Linked DNA regions of Lytechinus pictus. The protein of the gene in region 3 purifies or fractionates together with the protein of the main gene of each other region. This does not show direct contact. Links are inferred from orthologs where the notes say so. Each region holds a gene or a part of one and is shown on either strand. Other genes may lie near its edges.

The links. The genes of interacting proteins can lie anywhere in the genome.
Region 1: the proteins of histone acetyltransferase KAT2B-like (region 3) and transcription initiation factor TFIID subunit 10-like purify together in Drosophila melanogaster (affinity purification with western blotting; 4 studies listed by BioGRID). This does not show direct contact. The link is inferred for Lytechinus pictus from reciprocal best matches to the Drosophila melanogaster genes Gcn5 and Taf10.
Region 2: the proteins of histone acetyltransferase KAT2B-like (region 3) and DNA polymerase epsilon subunit 3-like purify together in Drosophila melanogaster (affinity purification with mass spectrometry; 3 studies listed by BioGRID). This does not show direct contact. The link is inferred for Lytechinus pictus from reciprocal best matches to the Drosophila melanogaster genes Gcn5 and Chrac-14.

The regions. Positions count from the first base shown.
Region 1 is NC_087258.1:11,652,560-11,660,377, reverse strand, and holds the start of transcription initiation factor TFIID subunit 10-like, read right to left. Parts: upstream 3,225-7,818; 5' UTR 3,071-3,224; coding exon 3,037-3,070; intron 1-3,036. UniProt on the Drosophila melanogaster protein: TFIID is a multimeric protein complex that plays a central role in mediating promoter responses to various activators and repressors.
Region 2 is NC_087259.1:11,820,462-11,828,928, reverse strand, and holds the start of DNA polymerase epsilon subunit 3-like, read right to left. Parts: upstream 3,225-8,467; 5' UTR 3,148-3,224; intron 1-3,147. UniProt on the Drosophila melanogaster protein: Accessory component of the DNA polymerase epsilon complex. Participates in DNA repair and in chromosomal DNA replication. Histone-like protein which promotes nucleosome sliding of ATP-dependent nucleosome remodeling complexes.
Region 3 is NC_087257.1:2,582,675-2,591,182, reverse strand, and holds the start of histone acetyltransferase KAT2B-like, read right to left. Parts: upstream 3,149-8,508; 5' UTR 2,412-3,148; intron 1,718-2,411; 5' UTR 1,632-1,717; coding exon 1,572-1,631; intron 187-1,571; coding exon 97-186; intron 1-96.

The DNA of each region.
Region 1 (7,818 bases), on a different chromosome or scaffold from region 3:
CTTTTATTGTGACATTACATCCCTAAATACAGATCGTAGTTGAAGTTCTAGCGCTTTTTTATGTAGGTTATGCACGTCGGTCATCAAGTAGAGCCTAACTAGTTTGGAAGCCTTTTGTGAAACAAGCCTTTTTCAGCTGATTGATAAGTTTTTGTATGGTAGTGTGAACTTAATTCACGCATCACCTAATTTTGCACATGGTTGAAAATCTCAGTGTGGTAATTTTCTTGAAGGTAAGACCGTATCAATTTGTGAAAATATTGAAAAAATATCAGCAAATTTGTTCTGAGAAAATCCAACTTCTCGACAAGCAACGACAAATCGCCAATTTGCAAGCAGAGGTCTCCAGATACGTAAGTAAAATGTGATACCAACCAAATTTAGGCATTTTAACCTCCATCTGATACAATTATCTTACCTTTGTCTGTTGGATTTAATTACTAAAGCTTTGCAAAAACGATTGTGCGCAAATTAAGGTTACACTTTTTATGACACTTATTCAGCCGAGCATGCATGAGTCAATTGCCATGGAATTTTGAGATTGCGATACCAGCAAAACCCTTGACCTACTTCATAATTCCGTCAAGCAATTTTGATTTTGGGATCTTGCCTTTTGTTTGTAAGATCTATTCATGATTTTGATTGATTTTGTGTGAACTGTGAGAATTTTGTTTTTTAAATCTTCTTCATAATTTTTAAAATGTGCACAAATTATGGTCACCCCATTATAAAAAAAAGGTCTAACAAAAAAGTTAGAACTGTGAGTGTAGAGTACACTAAACTAAAGTGTAGATCTAACACGTTAGATCAAGAAGTACAGGTAGGTCTAGATTCTAACTGATCTCGGGCAAAAATGTTAGTAGGTAGATCTAGACCTATTCGTTTATTTATGGTGGCAGTTTGATGACTTATTTTGCTGACTCAACAATACAGATACAGATATGCTGAAATTGTTTGATAATACTGCAGCTCAGCTCTGCCCACTCACGTTATTGCGAGCGCGAGATTCGTTGTGCTCAGAGCAGTGCAGTGCTTCCACTCTTCCCAAAATCCAGGAAATTCCGGGAAGTTTTGCTATTTTCCAAGATCATTTCGGGAAGTGAGAAATTCCGGGAAGTTATCATTTCAATTCCAGAAATATTTTCTGAATATTATGTAAAAATTTATCTCAAAATTGGATCTCTCGCTCGAAATTCTTTTGCCCGATAGGTCTATAGAACTATGATGCACTCTAGGCGACACCCCAATACTTACCCGTGCTAATAAACTGGGACTCCACTCACGCGCGTTTGGGCCTCCCTAGCTTAGAACTAAGCACTAATATCACCTTAAAAACTAAATCTACAAGGTATGTATAATCTATTTATAACTTTAATAATGTTTAATCGGTACTCACCGGTTCTTTTGTTGCATTTTCAGACCATTTCTCACAATTCTTCGTAAATATTTGCGGCAAATTTTGTCGCCATAGACAGCTTAGCGTCCATCTTTATTGATAAATGGAGCGCCCTTTACGATAGTTGTTAATGCCGCGGATAAATCGTTAGGCATTTTGGCCTGTGTTCAAGGCGTTCTTTCTGTTTTATTTTTTATATTGAAGATTGTGCATTTGTTGAATAGCGCCGTCTACGTCAGGTATGAGATCGAGTGTATAAATACACTCTTCCAAAATAATTATGATTCCGACCTGGCGCTGTTTAACTTCAATCTCTTTCACCTAAATTAGCGATGAATGCTAGCATTATAAAATATATATTATTAACGTCTGACGAAAAGAATAACCAACCGATCAGCTGACGAGAACGCGAATCACGTGATCTTCATATCAGCTTCGATCGCGAGTCAGAAGAGAAGAGCAGCTGCCCAGAAAATCAGGAAAAAGCCGTGAAAATGTAAGTTCCCCTTCATTTCTTTCATTTTTTGTTGTTGCTAACGATGCATTTACACTATAAAATTATAATTTAAATAAGAGAAAGGAATAGAGCTTGTACTTGTGATATAATTGCCTAAATATCCTGTTCTCAGAGATTTCTAACCAAAAATACTACTGATGTCGCCTATGAGGTCCATACATGTAATGTTGGACCTCATTGGTACTAGGAGTGCTATGATGGTGGGTCCCAAGTCTGTGCACCTAACAATTTGAGTTAAGATTTAACATGAATTTCTTCTTATTTCACAAAACTTTTCAGTTAATAATGTTCCTTATATTATTAAGAGCAAGTGTACCAAATTTCTCATTAAAAAAAATGAAAGAAAATATAGGATTTTCTTGAAAAAACCTCGGGCAGTCATTTTCAGATTGAAAAAAAAAACGGTACCCCCTGTCTGCGCACTCATTCACTTTGCACACGATTCTGGGATTTTGATGAGAAAGGCTGCATTTTGAGGCCATCATATGAAATGCCCTAAATTCATTATTTTTCCACCATTTTGAGTCGGACTTTTTAAAGAATACCTGTCTATGTATTGCTAGGCCTAGTATTGCATGTGTAAAGTTCGTGCTCATTGCGTATCTTCTTTTACTAGAATCGCGCAGATACGCGTGTGCGCAGACAAGGGGGACTACGCAGACTTGGGGGAACTTGCCATACGTCTATTTTAGTAATATTTCTCCCCCTCAAAATTTTTGGCTCATTAAAATTTAAATTTAAAATAAAAATACAGCAAAGACCAAAGTAAATAGAATTTCATCTTTTTTGTGTGTAGAAGAGAACTACTAGATCTATAACATATTATGAAAGACTAGAGATCATTTTTTTAAATTCCGAGATATTTTGTAAAATTCCAGGAACTTTCAGAGTAAATTCCAAGAGGTTACGTTTTGAAAAATTGGAAGCCACTGGCTATGGCTCAGAACAGAGGCCAGTGTGTCTCGTCCGACATGAATATGGACATGTCGGACTGAGGTGAATGTAATTAAAAAAGATAGTGTAGAATAACACAAAAATACAAAGATTAACCCCTCTACTAGTAGCCAGTATGCACATCGTGGCATCGTTGCTAGATTAAAATAAAACTTAACAGTTTTCTTACCCTCTTTCACATTCTTTAAATTAGAATTTGACATTTTGATGGCAGAGTTCCTTTCGCAATTTTGCCCGTCAGTGATCACCCAGTAAAAAGAGACGGCGCGTGCCGCGCGTTCCAGGCTAGGCTAGGCCGGCTATATCGACCGCCGACGACCGGCCGACCGAAACCAAAGATACGAATTTGGTTGCCCTGCATCACTTGGGATTGGTTCGACTTAAAAAAACATGATTTTACAGGGGCTGCGGAACGGTTTTCAAAGTGGGGGGGGGGGGGGGGGGCTGCCCATGCAAAAAATCACAATCCTATGGTATGATTTTTACGTTTTTGTACACGGTTCTGGAAAATTGGGGGGGGGGGGGGGGCTGAAGCAAAGGAAACCCTACTTTGATAATCTGTCTTTACTCTTGGTTGCGTGACAACAAAATTAATATCTGATTCTCATGATAAATTTAGAATATGATACCGTACCTTCATCATTTTTTTCTACTTGATCATTTTTTTTCTACAATCACATCTCAGTGGACGTCACCATTAGTTCAGTGCGTTTCCGCATACTGCACTTAATTGCTGCATACATGCTGGCTGATCAGCACAGCTATAAATAAAGGAATAAAAACATTTTTTTTTAATATAAAAAATTCTTCACGTCTCAAATTGTTTTGAATTAAAGGGGGAGTATATACACTTTGACGATAAGTTGTTTTTAATGAATGCCAAAAAAAAAATATAGAGAAATTTTTTGCTGAAAGTTTGATGAAAATACGACAATTAAAGAATAACGGAGCATGAATTTTGTAAATTTTGATATTGCCGGTAACGTCACATTGTACACAGTGGCGTAACAGGCGGGGGGGCAGGGGGGGGGGCAAGTTGCCCCCCCTGGCGGATTTCACCGGGAAAATAAAAGAAAAACGGGAAAAAGACAAAAAAAGTGGGAGAAAGAAAGGGAAATTAGGGGAAGGAAAGGGGAAAAGGAAAGGAGGAAAAGGAAAGGGAAAAGTGAAAAGAAAACGAAGAAAAAAACTTTTTTTTAAATGGAAAAGGAAGGAAAGCGGAAAAATATACGAAAGAAAAACATATGAGAAAGAGCAAATCATTCCGAAATAGGCCTATGTAATGCAATAGCAGGGTGGGAAATAAATTAAAGATGAAAAAATGGCAAACAATTGCGGGAAACGAAGGTAGAATGTAATTAGTCAAAAGCTAATGGACTGCATACAACATTGTGCTTTAAGCTTGCTAAATGTTATGCAAATAAGCTACCGGGGGGCTCTTCATTTATAACATTCATCTATAACGCCCCCCGTTCAATCACTGGCAGACAGGCGGGGGGGGGGGGTCTTGGTTCCACACCCAAAAGGAAATAAAATAAATTATAGGAGACAACGTATGAAATGAATGGAAACAATAAAAGGTGTTATTTGCTGAATATAATGGAAAAATCAATCACATAATTAGAATTTAATTACAATGGGCATTTTTTTTTTCCAGCTCGCTTTGCACGCTGGCGACTTTTTACAAATTTTTCCCACATTGCAATGTTTTGCTCCCTCAAAATATTTGGTTCATTACGCAACTGGGTTGAATAAATGTGTTGTGTAAAATAAAGCTACATTCTGTATATGCCCGCGATTTGATTAAAATAGCGGCAATCTGCGAGGTTTAAATGGCTTTGATATCAAGAAGTTCCGGGGGCTCCGCCCCGGACCCCAACCGCACAGCACAGCGTATGGAAGGGTTGGGCCATGGCTTCAAAAAGTTCTACAAACAAGAACAACAAAAAAGGAGGAAAGAAAAGCAAAGGAAAAGTGTAGGATATGATTTTATTTACTGAATAAAAAATAACTCAAAGTTAGATTCTCAGGAAAAGGTGATTTTTTCTCGCTCGCTTCGCTCGCTCGGGACTTATATAAAGCAGCTTTTTAGCACATGTGCTATACTGCGCCCTTCGTTTTTTTTTTTTTACTCTTCACGCTACTGCCGCAAAGAATCCTGTTCACAGTGGCGTACAGACCACAAAAAAGGAATCTAAAGAGAGAAGAGTGAAATATATTATTCTCTGGATATCATGTTAAAATCTATCCCAAAATTGGATTTTTGTATTAAAAAGGTCAAAATTTTTGCTCGCTCGCTTCGCTCGCTCGCAACTTTTTTTACAAGATAAATTCTGCCTGATACGCAATGTCTGGCCTTCTCAAAATAGTCGCCTCATTACACCTGTTCATACCATGATATGACCGGGAAATTTTTTGGCTCTTGCCCCCCCCCCCCCCCCCCGGCCACCGACCCCTGTTACGCCGCTGATTGTACAGCAGCTCCACCATTAGCATGATTTGATTATAGAGCCTTTTTCGTGTGATATTATTCCCAATTCATTCTCGAGAAATTGAAAGTGATTTTATACTATGAGGGGGATTATAATAGAAACATCATTTTTTTCTATATCAAGCCTAAATGTGTTTATTTCACTCCTTCAGAAATGCACACTTTTCAAGTCAGTGTAGGCCGGCCTCTATCAAATATTTCAGGCTCGCGCTTTACATTCGCATGAGTTGCTTATAGTTAGATACGAATCCTGTTCATGATCAGGCCTATAACATTTGCTCAAATGTCAAATTCATAGGTCGAAATCGCCCCCCCCCCCTAAAAAAAAAAAAAAAATAAATAAATAAATCAGCACGCGCTTCTTGCCGGCATCATAATTTTAATGAAACCCATATTCTCTTCTTTTCCTGAATGTTAAAAGTGCTTAAAAGATTTCCTTTCGAGTCAATATATAAATTTAAAAAAAACAGGAATTAGCTCGCGATCCGGGCTCGTACGTTTTAATTATTAAGAAACGCAACTTGTTTTTTAAAAAATGTGCCTATAGTACTATTTTAAAAATAGAGTATAAAAAAGTCAGCTCGCGCCGTTTTGCGTTTTTTTTACAAAAATTTGTATTCCCTTTTCCGGTTGGAATTGCGCCGGGGCCCTTGGAACGATTTTTTTACTAAGAGTACTGATGTAAATTTGAAAAGAAAAAGGAGTTTTCACTGCAAGGTTTCACTACAAAATGAAGGTCATTTTTACACATCTCCCAGAATACCTCTCCGGGTGCTGCCTATGGAAAATAATACATGCAGCACGGGCCCAAGAAAATTTTGGGTGGTGCTGATCGAAGCATCCCCTGCACCCCCGCTTCCCAGGGCCATGGCTTGTGTTTGCATTTGTGTATATAGGCCTACACATCTTGTTCATACATGAAATTTCCAAAAATTATTCATTTAGGCCTTTTGAGTATCTTATCTTGTTTGTGAAAATAAAGCTAAGAGGCACTTAAAATTTCAGTCATAGGAATACCCCTCTCAAAACGAAACAAAATATTTAGCTTTTAATTTTTTTAGCGGCCGATCGGGGAAAATGTGGATGAAGGTATTTTTCCACCCCCCCCCCCCCCGATGGCTAAAGCTGGATCGGCCCCTGCGTCTCATTTGCTATTTTTATGCTTCCGCCACCAATGCGCGGATCCAGGCCAGATTTCAGAATGGCCGGGGTACGGGCACAGAAATTATAACTGTTCCCTTTTTGCCAAAACACAATTTTGGACAAATTAAGCGAAATTGGTCACTTTAAGTTTGTTGTAAAAATAGAAAAAAAAATATCGGTAAAGGTTTGAGGAAAATCCATCAAAGTTTGAAAAATATTATAACTTTAAGTTTTTAATTTGTGATCCGCGTTTACATTACGTGCAGCTGCCGCTGCCCCATATGCTATGTAATATGAAATGCATAAATTTCATTTTTTTAATGGTTCATGACAAAAATTCTCTTTTTTCAGGAGTAAGTATGAAATGATTTGTCTGCTGATATGCTGAAGGTGTAATAAAATCCATTTTCATTTTTTTAAGAAAATGACATTTCTAGAATTTTTTTTCACGATGCATGGGAAGCTGCTCGTATATGACGTCACAAATAAAAAAAAATCTAATTCTGATAACTTTTTTTTAGATCTTTGACGGATTTTCCTTTAACCTATTTTTTTAATAATTCTTCTATCCTTTTGTCGGGGTGAACTTCCCTTTTAAAGGTCAAGTCCACCTCAGAAAATTGTTGATTTGAATCATTCGAGAAAAATCAGACAAGCACAATGCTAGGCTGAAAATTTCATCAATTAAAAGTCGGATGTAAAATAAGAAAGTTATGACATTTCAAAGTTACGCTTATTTTTCACAAAATAGTTATATGAACGAGTCAGTTATATCCAAATGAGAGAGTCGATGATGTCACTTACTCACTATTTCTTTTGTTTTTCATTATTTGAATTATACAATATTTCAATTTTTACGAATTTGACAATTAGAACCTCCTTGCCTGAACCACAAAATGTTAAAATAGTGGAATTCCACGTGTTCAGGGAGGAATGAAACTTTATTTCACATGACAATGACGAGAAAATCAAAATGTTTCATATTGCATATAATATAATACAAAATAAATAGTGAGTGAGTGATGTCATCAGTTCCCTCATTTGCATACCGACCGAAATGTGCATATAACTGTTTTGTGAAATGAAGAGTGTAAATGCTTCTTCCTCCGGATGTCACACTTACAGCTACGGCCTATATATTTCCAGATGTAAATATGTTTACTGTGGGTCAACAGCCCACAGGCAGGTTACCCCCCCCCCCTCCCCTGTATCCCCTGTGCCCCATCTCCCATGAAATTACTCTTTCCTCCGATCCTATGTTTGGTCCAAACGTTTCAACGCCTCCTAATCTAGACTAGTTCTATTAAAGGAGAATGA
Region 2 (8,467 bases), on a different chromosome or scaffold from region 3:
ATATATGTCTATCTATCTATCCATCTATCTGCCTGTCTCTATCTATCTATCTATCTATCTGTCTGTCTGTCTCTCTATATATCTATATGTCTGTCTCTATTTATCTATATGTCTGTCTCTCTATATATCTATATGTCTGTCTCTATTTATCTATATGTCTGTCTCTCTATCTATATGTCTGTCTCTCTATCAATCTATATGTCTGTCTCTGTATCTATCTATATGTCTATCTATCTATCTGTCTGTCTCTCTATCTATCTATATTTCTGTCTCTCTGTCTATCTATATGTCTGTCTCTCTATCTATATATATGTCCGTCTCTCTATCTATCTATGTCTGTCTCTATATCTCTCTATATGTCTGTCTCTCTATCTATATATATGTCTGTCTCTATCTATCTATCTATCTGTCTGTCTGTCTCTCTTTCTATCTATATGTCTATCTATGTTTTATTAGTATAACCACCTATCGTCTCTCTATCTATCTATCTATATGCCTGTCTCTCTATCTATCTATATGTCTGTCTCTCTATCTATATGTCTGTCTATCTATATGTCTGTCTCTCTATCTATCTATATGTCTATGTTTTATTAATATAACCACCTATCATTTATCTCTCCATCCATCACTCCATCCATCTATATATATTATTATCTTTCTTATATGTATCTGTTTGAATATGTAAATCTGTTTGTCTATCTATTTTTCAATCTAATATCTGTTTAAATATTTTTTTTCCTGTTTATCTTTCTATACGACAGACCACCTAATTCGTCCGCATGACGAATTAAAATCTAGTTTTTCTTTTTATATATATCTTTATGAAATAAGACAAATATGTGCCCCGACATGGGAATTTTGCATTGTTAACCCCCTATTGGCTGCACATGCACGATAGCGAGCCGTCTGTGTACGAGAAATTCAAAAAATAATAATAATGTTAAAAAACTCCTCGAAACAGACGGCTGCCAGCCGTCTAATGTTTGACTAGTATTACTATTACACGGACGAGTCCTGGCCCTGGGTTAGCTAGTGCACGTACCGAGTTATGGTAGGGGTTCCTAAAGCTGCGCGGGTCCTAAAGCTACGCACCACTCCATCGCGCATGCAATTTCAATGGGAAAATAAATGCGCACTCGAGCTCTGTGTGTGAAGCTGTGACTGCAGAGTGACGAACGATCCTATTCAATTTTTTTACAGAGGCTGCAATAAATTCTTGAATGCAGAGAAAACCAGCAAATGTTTGGAATTTTTTATTTATGTTCACTTTAATTTCATATTTCCCTATAATAATACGAACATATTTTAGAAATTAAGGCACAGGAAATACTATTTCTTTGCATGATAAATCGAGTGCGTAGCTTACTTTAGGACCCCTTCTACATCGGCGACGAAATCAAGACAAGAGGTGTTCGGAAAACACGGCGGGTTTTTCGTATTAGAGCGTGATCGGTTCATCACGGACGGACATTTGATAGATTTTGAAAACTTTGAAGGCTTGTAACAAATTGGGAATAAGATGAACATGGTTCCTTTTTGTTTTATAGTGAAGGGTTACTTAGGACAAAGTATGCTGAATGATGAAAAAAGTTTGTTGCCATGGTTACCTACAAACATAGGTAGCCACTAAATGTGCCATATCACGGACGGACATGATAGAAATGTGGTTTTCAGAATTTTTGAACATTTTTATTGTTTCTATCTAAATAGCTTAACTTTGACCAATAATGGAAATGTTCACACCTACCAAAAAAAATTACTTCCCAATATTTTTTTTCTACTAATTTTTGTTTGATAATACTATAGATTAATGTTTAGAGTGCAAGAACATCCAAACCAAATTAGAATAACTTTAAAAACCATAAAACTAGAGAGAATTTGATTTGAGTAAAAATGTCCGTCCGTGATGAGAGGTAATAGCACCCCCACGAATAAAATGGACTATTCCAGTACTTTCGGATTCATCAATCTTCATGAAACCGAGTTCTTTGAAACCTGAGATATCAAAGAATATCTTAAAAGCAATTTTGATAGAAAAAAAAAAAAAACCCTTAAAGGAGAATGAAACCCTTGAAACCATCTGAATCCATATCAAAGAGAAAAATCAAAGAAACATATTGTTGAAAGTTTGAGGAAGATTGAATGAATAATAAGAAAGTTATGAGCATTTGAATATTGAGATCACTAGTGCCATGTAGATCCTCCCATCGGCAATGCGACCAAGATCTGTGATATCACACACGTACAACTCCCTCAATACTTTAGTACTTATTTCACTTATATTCTCACTTTTATAGAGTCTATCACAAGGTGAGGTGTTCTCTTTATGAGATGACAAGTACAGAGGTTTCACAACATTATATCATTGATGAATCGTTTGTCATATGATTAGAATGAGCAAAAAGAGATGTTTTGGGGTATATTTTCAGTGTCCAAATGGGAGAGTTCTACGTGTGTGACATCACAGATCTTGGTCGCATTGCCAATGAGAGGATCTCCATAGCATTAGTGATCTCGACATTCAAATGCTCATAACTCTTTTATTGCTAGTCCTATTTTACTCAAAGTTTTGTTGATCTTATTCTTTGATTTTTCTGCTTTCACAAAAGCTAACTTGCTCCAAGAGTTTCATTCTCCTTTAACTAAGGCTTAACCGATCATGCTCATTACTAAAGTCTAAATACTAATTTAGTGAGTTCTGTGATATTTTCTTCTTGGTTAAGAGAATATTAATTACAAATTAGTGAAAGACAAATGGTTAAAATATTAAAATTGGCATAGTTTTTATCGTTTGAAAACAAAGTGCGCGCGTAGCCGTAGCTTTAGTTTAGGTCCCCCCATCATACAACTTACGGTTACACTTGTTACAGTCTACAGTACAGAGCTAACGTTAGACGAGTGTGTATTTTTGTAATAAGCTACTCGAACATCTACACTACAGTCCCATTCACAGCAATCACTGTCAGTAAATTCTTTTCATCTTCCAAACAACGCACTAGTAAGCAATAAAAATTTAGTTTAAGCTCAAATCAAAGAGTTTATCATTCACACATATATAGAATGAATCATTTCTCAATGGATCAACTATCAAAGAATCGAAATCAATGTATAAAATCACAAATCTTCAAGTTCACAGGTCTTTCTTACCGATCTTAAAAATTTGCCAGTGACCTATTTTCAGAGATTCCCGCGAAGATGACGTCATGATGGTGCGTGCGTGATCTCAATGCATGGTAAATTGCCAATTCGCATACTCGCTGCCAACTCGTCCACTCACCAAATGTCATTCCGTCAATCAACATTTCGTCTAAAAACTATTTGGTCCATTAATAACCATTTGGTCCAATCATCACTTCGTCTAATAACCATTTCGTCTCATAACCAGTTGGTCTAATTAATATCCACACTTGGCACAATTAAAAAAGGACAAGTCCACCCTAACAAAAAAGTTGATTTGAATAAAAGAGAAAAATCCAACAAGCATAACACTGAAAATTTCATCAAAATCGGGTGTAAAATAAGAAAGTTATGACATTTTAAAGTTTCGCTTAATTTCACGAAATAGTTATATGCACATCCTGGCTGGTATGCAAATGAGGAGACTATGACGTCATCCACTCACTATTTCTTTTGTATTTTATTATATATATTCTAATTTTCTCCTCATTGTCAAGTGATACAACGATTGATTCCTCCCTGAACATGTAGAATTAGCATTGTTTAATGACATGGTTCAGTCAAATTGGTCCCCCTTTGGTCCTTATTGTCATATAGATAAATAATGAAATATTGTATAGGCCTAATTCAAACAATAAAAAACAAAAGTGAGTGATGGACATCAACGACTGACTCACCTAGTTGTGCATATATCACTGTTTTGTGAAAAATAAGCAAAACTTTAAAAATGTCATAAATAATTTTTTATTTTTCATCCGATTTTGATGAAATTTTCAGCGTTATGCTAGTTTGGTTTTTCTCTATTTATTCACATCAACATTTTTCTGGGGTGGACTTGACCTTTAACATTTTTTTTTAAAGTTTCCTTTAATTTCCCTTCCATGCACTTATTTTCCTTGTTCCTTTTGTCATTGTCCGTGAGAAGATGGCAGGCATGCAGGGGCATCTCGGGAGCCATATAGGGCAATTTTCGCACCCCTCGGTGGAGCTTAATTTTACTTCATTTTCTTTTTTCCCTTCTTTTTATCTTCCATATATTTGATGGAAATCATCAAGGGGGTAGGGGCTCTCTCAAATTTTATTCCCCTTTTTACCTTTTTTCCCCTTTCAACCATGTAAATACCGTTTCCATTCTTTTAATTTGCTTCTCCTTTGACCGCCTTTCCCCTTTTCTTCACCCTCTTCCTTTTCCTATAGGCTTCTTGTCTTTTCTCCACCCTCTCTTGAAATTCATTCCTTTCATTTTTTTTTTTCCATCCTCCATCTCCCTTCTTTTTCTTTTCTTCCCTTTTCCATTTCGCTTTCGATTAATTATTTTTCTTTCTTTAATGAAACTGTTGTCCTTTTCTTTATTAGCATTTTCCCTTAATACCTTCTTTAATCTCACACTTTTTCTTTATTCATTCTTTTTCATTTTCCTTCTCTTTTTAACCTCTTTCCCTTTCTCTTGCCCATATAATTATATTATTTCATTGTATTATCATTATTATTTTTTGTTTTTTGGGGGATATAATGGATCCGCGCCTGCATGCATACATGCAGCCACGTACGATCTACAAATACATTTTGAAGTCAAAAGTTTTGTATTCCATTTTTTGCTCCTTTTTGATTTTTATTGTTTAATATGCATCGGAGTCATGTTAGCCATACTAGTCCTCTTTTAGATTTTTCTTTTGGAAATAATTAAGCTTTCGAGCTTTCGTGGGTCATCCTGTGCAAGCCTGTTGTTTTATGTTCTGGTGACTTGCCAAATAAAATAAACCAATCAATCAATCAATTCATTGCATAGTTAAGTTCTAAACAATATCTGCGCCACATCTTGTACAGAGGAATACGCCATCTACGTTACCAATACCAGTTAGTCGGAGGCCGAAGACGACAGACGTAGATCGAGTTGGAAACTTTATTTTATGAAAACAAGCATTTAATTCTGCAGAATGTTTCTCATTTGAGTGAAAGGTGGGTATTTACCACATTTCATTAAATTCATGACATAGAAAATTAGTCATTTGATTTCATTCACAGTCTGTACTGATTAGCTATCGTACTCGGAGTCGATCGACTCGAGTCGACTGATCCCCGATCATTTACTATTTAGCTGAAGCGAAGCCAGGCAACCGTACGCACGGCCGGCGACCCGGGCCCTGGTCGATCGGCGACTCTGGCACTGCATGTTCATTGCTAACCCAGAGAGCTCCCGCCCGCTGCGCGGGCGGGAGCCCAGAAGCTTACCGTGTATTTTACCATTGTCACCGGACTAGGGTGATTTATGGTCTAAATATTTCTCCAAATGAATTGTGAAAACAGAAAGTATAGAATTACCACGATTATATGGATGAAGGTCTAACGAGTGGCAGATTCCTGACATCTGGGCACAGTCTGGAACCTCAAAAAAACGAAAAGTTCTCTCCTTCTACCCCGTCTCGATCGGCCATTTTTGTTAAAAATTGTAACAAAATGGCCGATCGAGACTGGGTAGAAGGAGAGAACTTTTCGTTTTTTTGAGGTTCCAGACTGTGCCCAGATGTCAGGAATCTGCCACTCGTTAGACCTTCATCCATATATACTTTCCGTTTTCACAATTCATTTGGAGAAATATTTAGACCATAAATAACCCTAGTCCGGTGACAATGGTAAAATACACGGTAAGCTTCTGGGCTCCCGCCCGCTGCGCGGGCGGGAGCTCTCTGGGTTAGTTCATTGCAAGTGCAACCACTGGCACTAGCACTTCCACTGCACTGCAGTTCCACTGCCTGTCACAAGTGTGTCTTGTCTTGATTTGTTTCATTTGTCAGTGTTTGAGTGTGACTAACGTGATGTAATGATGGCTGAAAATAATGCAGGGAATATTTCTGGCATTCTGTGCCGTGCCTTCTGCCTAGACAAGATAGCTGGCAGCCGTCTGTTTCGAGTTTTTTTTAATTTAAAGTAGGCCTACCGCCTAGGCCTAAACATTTTTTTAAATTTTTTATTTCTCTTTGTATGTACACTGTGATGGCTCGCGATCGTGCAGCTGCCATTAGGGAGCTAACAGTGCAAAGTCCCCCCGATGGGGCTCATCGATTTCTGTCTTTATTTCATGAAAATATATAAAAAGAACTGGACCAAAATAAAGATTATTATTCCGTTTTGGCCTGAAATGCACCAAAACAGGGAAAAATAAACTTAAAAGGAAAAAAAAACCAGTGACTTACCTTACCTTACCTTACCGCAAATACTGGAAGAATGCTGAATTAGCAGTCGAGCTTCCAGGTCTATCTTCTAATTTTGTCAGCTTCCTTCATGCTTCAATAAGTTTCAATAAGTTTAAGGAGGCAGTGGGGCAAGTTGGTGAAAATTGACTTCTCATATCCAGTTAAGAGTAGTGGGAATCATAATGCTTATCTTTCCAGTGTCGGTCTAGCCTGATTTTGAAGGTGTCTACTGTGGGAGCTTCAACTACCTCAGCTGGGAGAGAGTTCCAATCATTGACTACTCGGTGACTAAAAGCTTGCTTTCTCACATTTGTTCTGCATCTTGGCTTTACAAGTTTGAACCTATGACCTCTTGTAGTACTGTCAGCTAGCTGAAAAAAGTGGTCTGGGTTAAGCCTGTCGACTTCATGAGTGATCTTATACACTTGAATCATGTCACCTCTCTTTCTTCTGTACTCCAAGGATGGTAAGTTCAGGTGTTTAAGCCTTTCCTTGTATGGAAGATGTTTGATCCTGGAGATTACTTTGGTTGCTCTCTTCTGAACTCTCTCGACAGCCTTAGCATCAGCAATGTACTGTGGTGACCAGATGACATTTCCATATTCCAGGAGTGGCCGCACTAACCCTTTAAATAGTTTGGGGATAGTGGTCGAATCAAGACACTGGAAAGTACGTCTGATGCTGATTAGTACCCCGTTTGCCTTATTGACAGCATTTGACACTTGCTTGTGGAATTTTAGATCGTCGTCAATGATGATCCCTAAATCCTTTTCTTCTCTAACTGCATTCAGTGCTGTACTCCCGATGTTGTAGTGCTCTCTTTGGTCACCTGATCCAAGATGCAAAACACTGCACTTGTCAGTGTTGAATTGAAGTTGCCACTTTGAGGACCAGTCCATCAGTGAGTGCAAACTTGCTTGAAAAACTTCACATTGATTTGGAGAGGAGACAGAAGAGAAGGCCTTAGTGTCGTCTGCATAGATCCTTAGAGTGGATTCCATAACATCAGAAAGATCATTGATGTACAACACAAACAATGTCGGGCCGAGCACGCTACCCTGGGGCACCCCGCTCTTTACCGTGCACCACTGAGATCTGGCATTGTTTACAACTACCCTCTGGGTTCGGCCACTGAGAAAATCAGCAATCCAAGTTTTGAAGCTCCCTTGAATGTTGTATGCATCTAGTTTTGCCACAAGACGTTGATGGGGTACACTGTCAAAGGCCTTTCTAAAATCTAGGTAGACAACATCAACCTTTTCACCTTTATCCAGTAAGGATGTCCAGTCCTCTAGTGTCTGGAGCAGCTGTGTAACAGTTGATCTACCTGGGACAAATCCATGTTGGGAATCGCTGATTAGTTCATTCTCCATCAGATGATCAACGATCTTGTCTCTGATCAGCGACTCCATGATCTTACAGGGTACTGAAGTCAAACTTATTGGTCGATAATTAGTGGCTTCAGACTTGTTTCCCTTCTTGTAAACTGGAACAACGTGACTTGCTTTCCATGCTGAAGGAAGCTTGCCTTCTTTGAACGACTTAGTGTAGATGATGGCCAATGGTGTACACACTGAAGGTGCCGTTTCCCGTAAAATGCAAGGATGGATACCATCCGGTCCAGCACTCTTAAATTTGGAAAGCAGATCAAGTTTGCGATGTACATCCTCTGGGGTTATGTCTAGAGCAGATAAGCATCCAGCTGACTGTCTGCGTTCAAGCTGTGGGATGGAAGAAGTGTCCTCTTCAGTAAATGTTGTCTCAAAGAAAGCATTCAAGATTTCGGCTTTCTCTTCATCTGTTGAAGTGAAGGTACCATCCGTCTTTTTGAGATCAGGAAGCCCCTTTCTGGTCTTTAGATTATCAGATGCATATCTCCAGAATGCTTTTGGATCCGTCTTCACATTCTTCGCAAGGTCCTTTTCGAAGTTACTTCGCAGATCTCTTGTGAGGCATTGAAGAGCCTTTGCTAGTCTCCTAGCTCTAGCAATGTCAGTTGGGTGTTTAGTGACTTGGGCTTGTTGCCATGCACGATGCTTTTGTCCATGCAGTCTGAGTGCTTGATTGTTCATCCATCTATGCTTTTTCTTACGTCG
Region 3 (8,508 bases):
ACTATTGATAGTAAATTTAAAAACTTCAGTTATTACTACCAATAAGACATTCATGCAGTATACTATAAAATCAAATGAGTAATCTCTGGAGCTTACTTTTGCAATGCTTGGTTTCTCAAAAGGAGGTCGACCTAAAGGACCTTCTACCGATGGTGAGTTCATCTGCAGGATACATTTCCTCAGGAGCTGTACAAGGAATACATCAAAAAAAATTATGAGTCAAATATGTTTCACATTTTTAGACATGAAATTCTTTATTAAGCTTAACATCATGAAAAGAGCATAAGAAAGGGTAGATTTGTTTTTGCGCAAATATTCACTTTTTTAAAGCTAAAACAACAATAACATATTTGAAAAATGAGATGACATTTTCACATTTTAATTCAACTGCCCAGAGCTGAAATCCCGCCCTTGCCAATCTTCTGCATCAAGTATAACATCAAGTCAAGCGATAAAATTGAAACCCTTCAAGCTTCCATGTTCCGTAGTTGCTCAACAGATAGTGGTGCTGATTTTTTTTTTACCCGATTGCTAAGAAAGCATGTATGCTTGTAAGCAAGTAAGCAGAGGACTGACAGCTTAAGGTCCTCTCCGAGGGACCTGGTAATGAGGATAAATGCCTTACCATAGGGCACTAGCGCACCAAGTGGGAATCAAACCCGAGTGACCAGGATCCAAGCAACCCCCCCCCCACCTCCCCGCTCTACCGACTGACCGATCGCACCTCCTCATTAACCCTAATTCTCCCGGGGGGGGGGGGGCCATAATGGCCCCCCCCTCGACAATTTTCGCGATATATCTGCTGCGCAAAATTGTTTAACCTCGCCGCTCACTGACTTTTTACTTTCAAGTCTCGCGCAAATTTTGAGACCAAATTTGTGACGCCCGGGTACGCGGTTACGACATTACGCAACATTATGTAAGTGCATGTCAGACCCAAAATTGCTCATAAACGTGATTGCATGTACAAATCCAATGCAAATTGTGTATTTGGCCAGACTTCATAAATGTATCATTATTTCTACTTTTAACGATTAAACTTAATTAATTTTGCCTTGTTTATGATCAGAATTAAGTCTGGAGTGATTTCCATCGAAAAAACAACAAAAAGTAAAAAAACAAAGAAATACATAAGAAATATAAAAAAAAATAAAATACATAAGAAATTGGTCTTGGTAACAGAATTTTTTTCATTCACAATTGTTAGGAATGCTATAAAGAATATTTTCACCAAAAAATAGCATTCTAGGAGCTTTATTTAGTGAATCAGAGCAAAAAGTATGATTTCATGAATAAATTAGCATAATTAATTCATATAAAATAAAAATATATGAATTCAGTGAAATTTACCAATGCAACTGCGTAGATTACGTCATTCTCTACCATCATGCAAATTTTCATTGTGATCGCAAAATCAACGGCTGAGATCTTAAGGGGGGGCCATTATGGCCCCCCCCCCCCCCCCCCCCCCCCCGGAATGACAAGAATCAAAATACCCCGGGAGATTGAGGGTTAAGTTTTCATTCAACACTAACACATTTCTGAATACAGAAGGATGTAGTGAACTATACCTTGAACAAATGAAAGTAGACCTGCTTTGTATCGGCATCTTCTTCCTTGTGGACAGACATGAACAGGTGTTCGACATCGACTACGATGCCCAGGAGCCTGTCAATCTCCTCCTCAGCGACATCCTCTAGATGGGATACATGTTCAGCTGGAAGAAATTTGTTCACACATTGTTATTATCCGCGCCTCATAAATGCTATATATTATTATTATTATCATTATTATTATTATTATTATTGGTCATTTTGCCTCCGACGAAGATTCTGCTAGGATCGAAAGCTTAGGCCCCTTTTTGACTTTATATTATTATTATTATCATCATTATCATAAGATTGACCAATATCATAAATGGCTATTTTCTTTATCATGCATTGATATGTACAGATGTGTATATCCCCTAAGCCCTGAAAAAAAAAACATGTTAGAGCCAACCAATGTCTGTGATAAGGGACTTTTAATAGCAGAAAAGCAGTTTGAGTGGCACCCAAGCAATCATCTTGTTGCCTTTGGTTAATGCAAGGCCTGGGAGTATGGAAGATTCAGTATACTTATGTTTGGGCTATGGAACATTTAAAACAATTTAAAGGACACAATGGAGCACTGAACATAAAGTACTAATGTCTTGGTGCCCTGTAGCAATTCAGTTCATGTGTCCCACAGAAAAGTAAATTTTACTATTAATGCCTTTCTTTAATGACCTTGGATGCCTCTAAAGTGACCACTACCTTTCCTTTCCTTTCAGTGTCATAATGGCCTTGCCCCTATGAATCTTAATTCAAGCCCTATTCCTCTATTATTGTTAAAACTTAATGAATCAAGTGTACAGATGGGAGCATACATACCAAGTTGATGGCCACAGCTCTTGCATGGGTCTGATCTACTAGCCAATGGGGTTGTTATATCCAGTCTAGCTGGTTGTGTCGGTGTAGGAGGTGGATTAGGATTCTTCCAACCATTGCACTTGCATGCTTCGTCTGCCTGCAAACAACAAAAGACAACAAAATAGGCCTACTGGTTACCTTCTTCTATCATGCACAATCACAAGTCTGGTGTGGCCTATCACAAAATGATCAAAAGTAGATGCATGCGAGAGCCACCAAATTACGCAGCACTGCACAGGATATACAACGGGAAAGTTACAATTGGTATTTTCTCTTTTTTGGTCATTTTGAAGATACACTCTTTAATTTGCAAGACAATTGGCAAACTTGGAACATAACCACAGATTTCTTTGTTTCTTGCGCAGTTTTTGGCGATCCCGTTTCATAAGTCTGGGCTGAGCTACGCAAGGCTTTAGAAATATGGCGCAGATGCAGATTCTGCCTTTTTACTACAAAATTGGGCTTTCAGAGGGGATTTTGGAGTTGAATTTAAAATTAAAATCAGAATTTCCTGGCACGCTATAAACTGGCTGTGGAGATAGTGCATGTGTGTAACAAAAGTTGTTGGGGCCATTTGTGTGCCGTGGACCATGGTGACGGAATGTGCGCTGTGCTGATTTGTGAAAACAAGATTGGCAGTCAAATCCTGGTGCATGTCAAATCAGTAGAGGTGCTGGTCCAAAAATTGAGATTGTCCCAGAAAACAAGGATATCCTCATAAACCAAGACAAATGTCTTGATGCATGTAAATAGCAATTGTCCTTGTTTATGGGGATATTTTTTTTCACTTACCCCTGCGGGACATACATGCAGACAGCAAATAGGGGATTGAGAGTGCTAAAAATAGATTTGGTGACCTCAATTCCCCCAAGTTGACCGTCTATTTTGCACGACTTGCCATCTTCCAATAATCTTGTTATGAAAAATGATATGTTAAGATTGACTAGCACACTTGATTGGTGTCGGCATTTGACAAGCGAATGACTTTCCAAGATTTCTTGTGTGGAGAAATTTTTGAAAACTGAGACAGTACCTGTAAACTGTGATGATCCCAAATTTCTGACCAGTGCCTGTACTGCAAATTAAGGGTGCATTTAATAGTAATACTACTAGTCTAATGTTAGCTGATAAACAAGCTTTTTGAAAATCCTTCCTCTCCTCGTCTGATTTCTGGCTCTGTCCTGTGCCTGCTTTATTTTAATATTTTTCTTGGCCTAACGTTAAGAAGAGACTCTAGGCCTAGAGATCTATCGACTAGATCATGAGATCTATATCTTGTCTTGTCTTTTTGTTAATGCCAACAATCATTATATTAATAATGGCATATGAATGTCTAGAAATAACCATCGTTTCTGGGGGTTTATTTAACAATTTCAGATATTTTACTACAATCCCCATTCACCGACAGTAGTACGTTAGTGCGAGCCCGTATGTGTAATCATTTCTCCCAATTCAGGCATATAGTGTTTTGTCTAGATTTTTTTCTTTTTTTAGGTCTATATGACTTTATATTATCTTAAACGACGGTCCACATTTTCGTTTGATTCTTATCTTTCTTTTTATAAGTACTACGAACTATGAAATAAAAGATCGAAAATCTATGTGACCGACTGACCGATGATTTATTCCTTATTTTATCAAATATTTTGCCGGAGAGGAAAACTGGCAGATGTATATTGCTGCCTTCTACGTTCGTTGATTAAAGCTTTTGTTTTATCAAGGCTTTCTGATTAGAATTTTCGATATGCGAGCAACAAGTTCCGAGAAACGCAGCGGCACGAATCACGATATACAGCGACTTCGACTGGTAAAAACATCATTCAAGATGGCAATTTACGATGACCGTCAAAAGGATCGAGGGTGACTAAGTTTTCATCATCATTTGAAGGGAATTAGCAGTAACTGCGGTCCAAAGTGTGAAATTTGAAATTTCTTAATTTTATATATTTCCTTGTCAAGTTGGATGTAGATTCCAATTTCTTTTTTGTAAATGAGATATTTTTTAACAAAAACTGTACATTGGTTTTGTACAGGTGTAGTAAATTTGCCATGTACCTGTACTTACCCTATATGTATTAGTATGTGTATAAGTCTATGTATTGATCTATGTTCATGTACATTAAGTCTGTGTATGTGCTGTGTGTATGCGAGGAGCGCTCCTGATTGGAGGAGCCTTTATATGCTCCTACGCCTGCTACGTGTGTGCGTTGCACAGCACGTACACAAGTTGGTGCCTGGTTGGGAGAGGAGAGATTGGATCCAGACACCAGAGAGAGAAGACCCAGAGACGCCATCGAGTGAGGACATCCCAGTAGCTCCCCACTCGGCGCCATGGTCTGCAACCTAGCTATATAGAAGTCAATGTTACCTGAGTTAGTTATCTACCGTGTGGAATCCTTAGTACAAGTGTCAGGTGAGTATTAGTTGTTGTCCGTGTCTTGTACCGTCGGTAATTAACCCATTCGTGAGTTTCGTGAGTCGTAACCCTTGTCAGTGTTGTACTTGTAAGTTTAACCACTCGCCATCGTTTATCGTAACGTATCGTATCTCGTGCCATCACATCATCTGTAACCCACAACTTTCATTTTTACAACATTGGCGATTGCGAGTTTTCGGATCGTTCTGTGCGCCTGTCATTTACATTTTCATCATTTCATGTCCGTTCATACTTCATATTTGCTCATGAAAGTCATTTGTGAGTGATTTTGAAGTGTATAACGAACGGAGAGTGAGTGGGAAGTTTTCCGCTCTCTACCGAGAATTGGAAATTTGCGTGCCGTGATTGCGTGGATTCGCATGCATCTCGCACACATCTTGTTTTAGTTCTACCATTTTTTCGTACATGATATCATTTCTTGTTTGTTACAAGTGGATTTTGATATATATTTGCCATATCTAGGGAATTATTTCATATCCACTACGTTGCATTTTCATTGCAACGCACGTGGTATTCTCTGTGCACACGGTGCACACGCCCTACATTGTTTAGTTGCACTTGCATTTCTCATCGCATTCTTCGCGAGTCTCTTCTATTGTTTGGCTCGCGATCAAGAATTTCGTTCCTTGCATATTTTTGCGTCGCTTACCATCTCGTTGCTTTTGTTTGTAAATTCTTTGAAATCTGCTACTAGGCGAGGATATTTTTAGTCCGCCATTGTCTTTATAAGCTTTCTTTCAAATTCGGAACATTCACACCACACCACTTCCAAAAAAAAGTCGGGTGTGAGTATTTGGTGGATTTATTGGATTGGAAAAGTTAATTTGAACTTGAAATTTTCTCTCGATCCTCAGTAATTATTCCAGATGGTATAAGTTTCCTAGAATTTCATACTCTTGCATATCGGGCAGTGCACCAATATTTTGAGGGCGTAGAGTTGTTCATACATTTCTATAAAATTTCCAGTATATATTTTCTATCGACATTTGGCAAGTGTTTTTTACAGCCAGTTCTGTACACATTGAGTGGCAGAAAGAGTGATAGAAGTTCTAATACTCCTGGTTGCCGAGTTGAGTAATAGTCTGAATTTACTTCAAATTTTTACCCAGCTCGAAATTACACTTGTGTCGGTGGTACGTTAGAGGTGGGTTTTTCTGAATTTCAGATCTTACCTGTTACTAGAAAATAGGTGGGTTTTCTGAGCTTCGGATCTTACCTAGCTGTAACTTGAAAATATACTCTTGAATTTTGTTCTTAATCAATACACATCTTGTGAATTTTCTTTAAAGCATTTCATTCATCACATTTGATATTGTGATTGTTTCTCTTTAATAACTGTGATTGTCATTGTCTTAAATTCAATCTAAAAGTTATTGTTACTCATTGTTGCTAATTGTTCACCCACTCGGTAGAATTGTGTGTGAATATATAGACATCTATAAACTATTCCAGTGTCAGACCCGTTGGGACTGGAAAAAATAGACGTCTGAATTATTTGTGTGAATAGACTTCTGTATAATAATTCCAGTGTCAGACCCGTTGGGACTGGAAAAAATATAGACGTCTGAAATATTTGTGTGAATATACTTCTGTCAATACCAGTGTCAGACCCGTTGGGACTGTGAAAGAGAAGTCTGAATATTTTTATCTTCCCTATCAAATAATTGGTAGTTTGGGCTGGTTGGGTGTAGGCTCCATAATTTTTTTGAAATTGTGTAGTTTTGCAGAGAAACCGGTAGGCTATTAATTTCTTGATAACTTGGATATATTATTCTCTATGTTCTTCATGTTACATGTTTATATGTCGTTTTGATTCGAACTAAAATTGAATCAACACTATTGATTAATCTATGTGCTGATGGTGATTTCCATTGCTTTAGAGATTAAACTATTTGGAAGTCAAGAAGTAATAGATTGTTTTTGACAAAAAATTGACAATCTTCCCTCGATCCCTCGATCGCCTAGCTCACTCGGCGAAACACTGCCGAGCCGAATCACGTGACTCTATTTCATTGATTCTGCTAGCGACTCTCGTTGACAGAACACTGAACAGTCGATCAGAGTTAGAATTTGGGAAACTCTGATTTTATACGATTATCGTGATTGACCGTTGATTTATTCTAATGATTAGTTCTAAGTAGGAACTCGTAGAAATTGATTTTGTAATTTGATCATTCTTTTTGTAGTTAATTTTAGGTCTAACGTCGCGCGGTTTTCAACCAACACCAGCGCAACGCACCTCTCTGTCTGGCCCGTAACTCCAGGCAGGGATAACGTGCACGAACCGGCTATCGTCGCCGTGAAGGCAAATTTTGAACGAGTTTCCTTTTCGTCAGATTTTACTGACAATTTGCTGGATTTACCTGCCAATTGTCTCTTGACTCAATATTTACGCAAACTGAGCTAAATTCATTGATTTTATACTGCCATATTTCGTGTTATACTGTTAGTAGATCTTGTTAAATTTATCTTCCCAAGCTTAGCTTTGTCTGGTGTACCGGGTACCGTACATCGAGTTTAATACTAGACTACCTGTGACCGTTTGTGCAGTAGCACTTTGCAGTTTTGTATCTTTGAGATACAGTCAGTTCGACTGTCTTACTGGAAACTTAAAAGAATTTATTTAATTAATCTTCTGAGCTTACCTTCAGATTTAACGTTAACAATATTAGGTTAAAGTTAACGTTAGTCTTTTTGGATCTTTAATTTTCTTAGTGGATTAGTAAATAAGCACTGTTGTCCTGATTACTAAAAGTCTTGGAAGTTCAATTAATTTCTAACCCTAAAATACTAAAATTAGTCCAGGTTAGAAAAATCCTATTGTCTTAATTTGATATCAAATTCCATTATTACTTGGGATTTTTAGGAATCTTTGCAGCCGAAAATCTTGTTAAAACTTTAATCTCTCGGGTGTTTGTAATTTCCTGACCGTGTATACCTGGAGCCAACAAGTGCAATAGTTTGCTTTGCCTTTTGACTCGGTGTACAGCTGGTTTGAACGAGGACTTGGAATTTAATTTCAGGCCCTTAGTTCTTTGTAGGAAATTTTTCTTGGAGGTTATCCTGGATTGTCTTTCTGTCTGTTTGAAATTCAGGTTTTCTTAGTAGATTACTTTTTAACAAGCATTGTTAGATCAGGAATTTTTCTTTGGAATAATTCTTGCTTGTAAATTTAATTCCTATATGAGAGATTTAATTTCTATATTTTTAAAAGAAAGATTGTTCTCAAGTAAAGGTCAAAAAGTTCTGAATAAATTTTAATAAGGTTCTTGAAAATACTTATTTTAATTCAATCAACTCTTGATTCTGATTTTAAGTGAAAAGTACAGATACTATTGATCTTTGATATCAGAATAATTGATATCAACATTCTTTGAAATTATTTTTTTCATATAGTTGCTTTTGTATTTTTGGAACATCATTCTTGCGCTGAAAATTTGCAAATTTCTATTCAGGCTCTAGAATCCCATTCATCAGTGAAGTACAAAATTCACTGCTGTCATTTTGCGCAAGTTGATTTCTAAATAGTAGTCTCATCATTTTTTAGTTGGTAACTTATCCCCATTCTAAAAAAAAAGAAGAAAAAAAAAGAGGAAAGAAAATTGGATGTGGGATAAATGT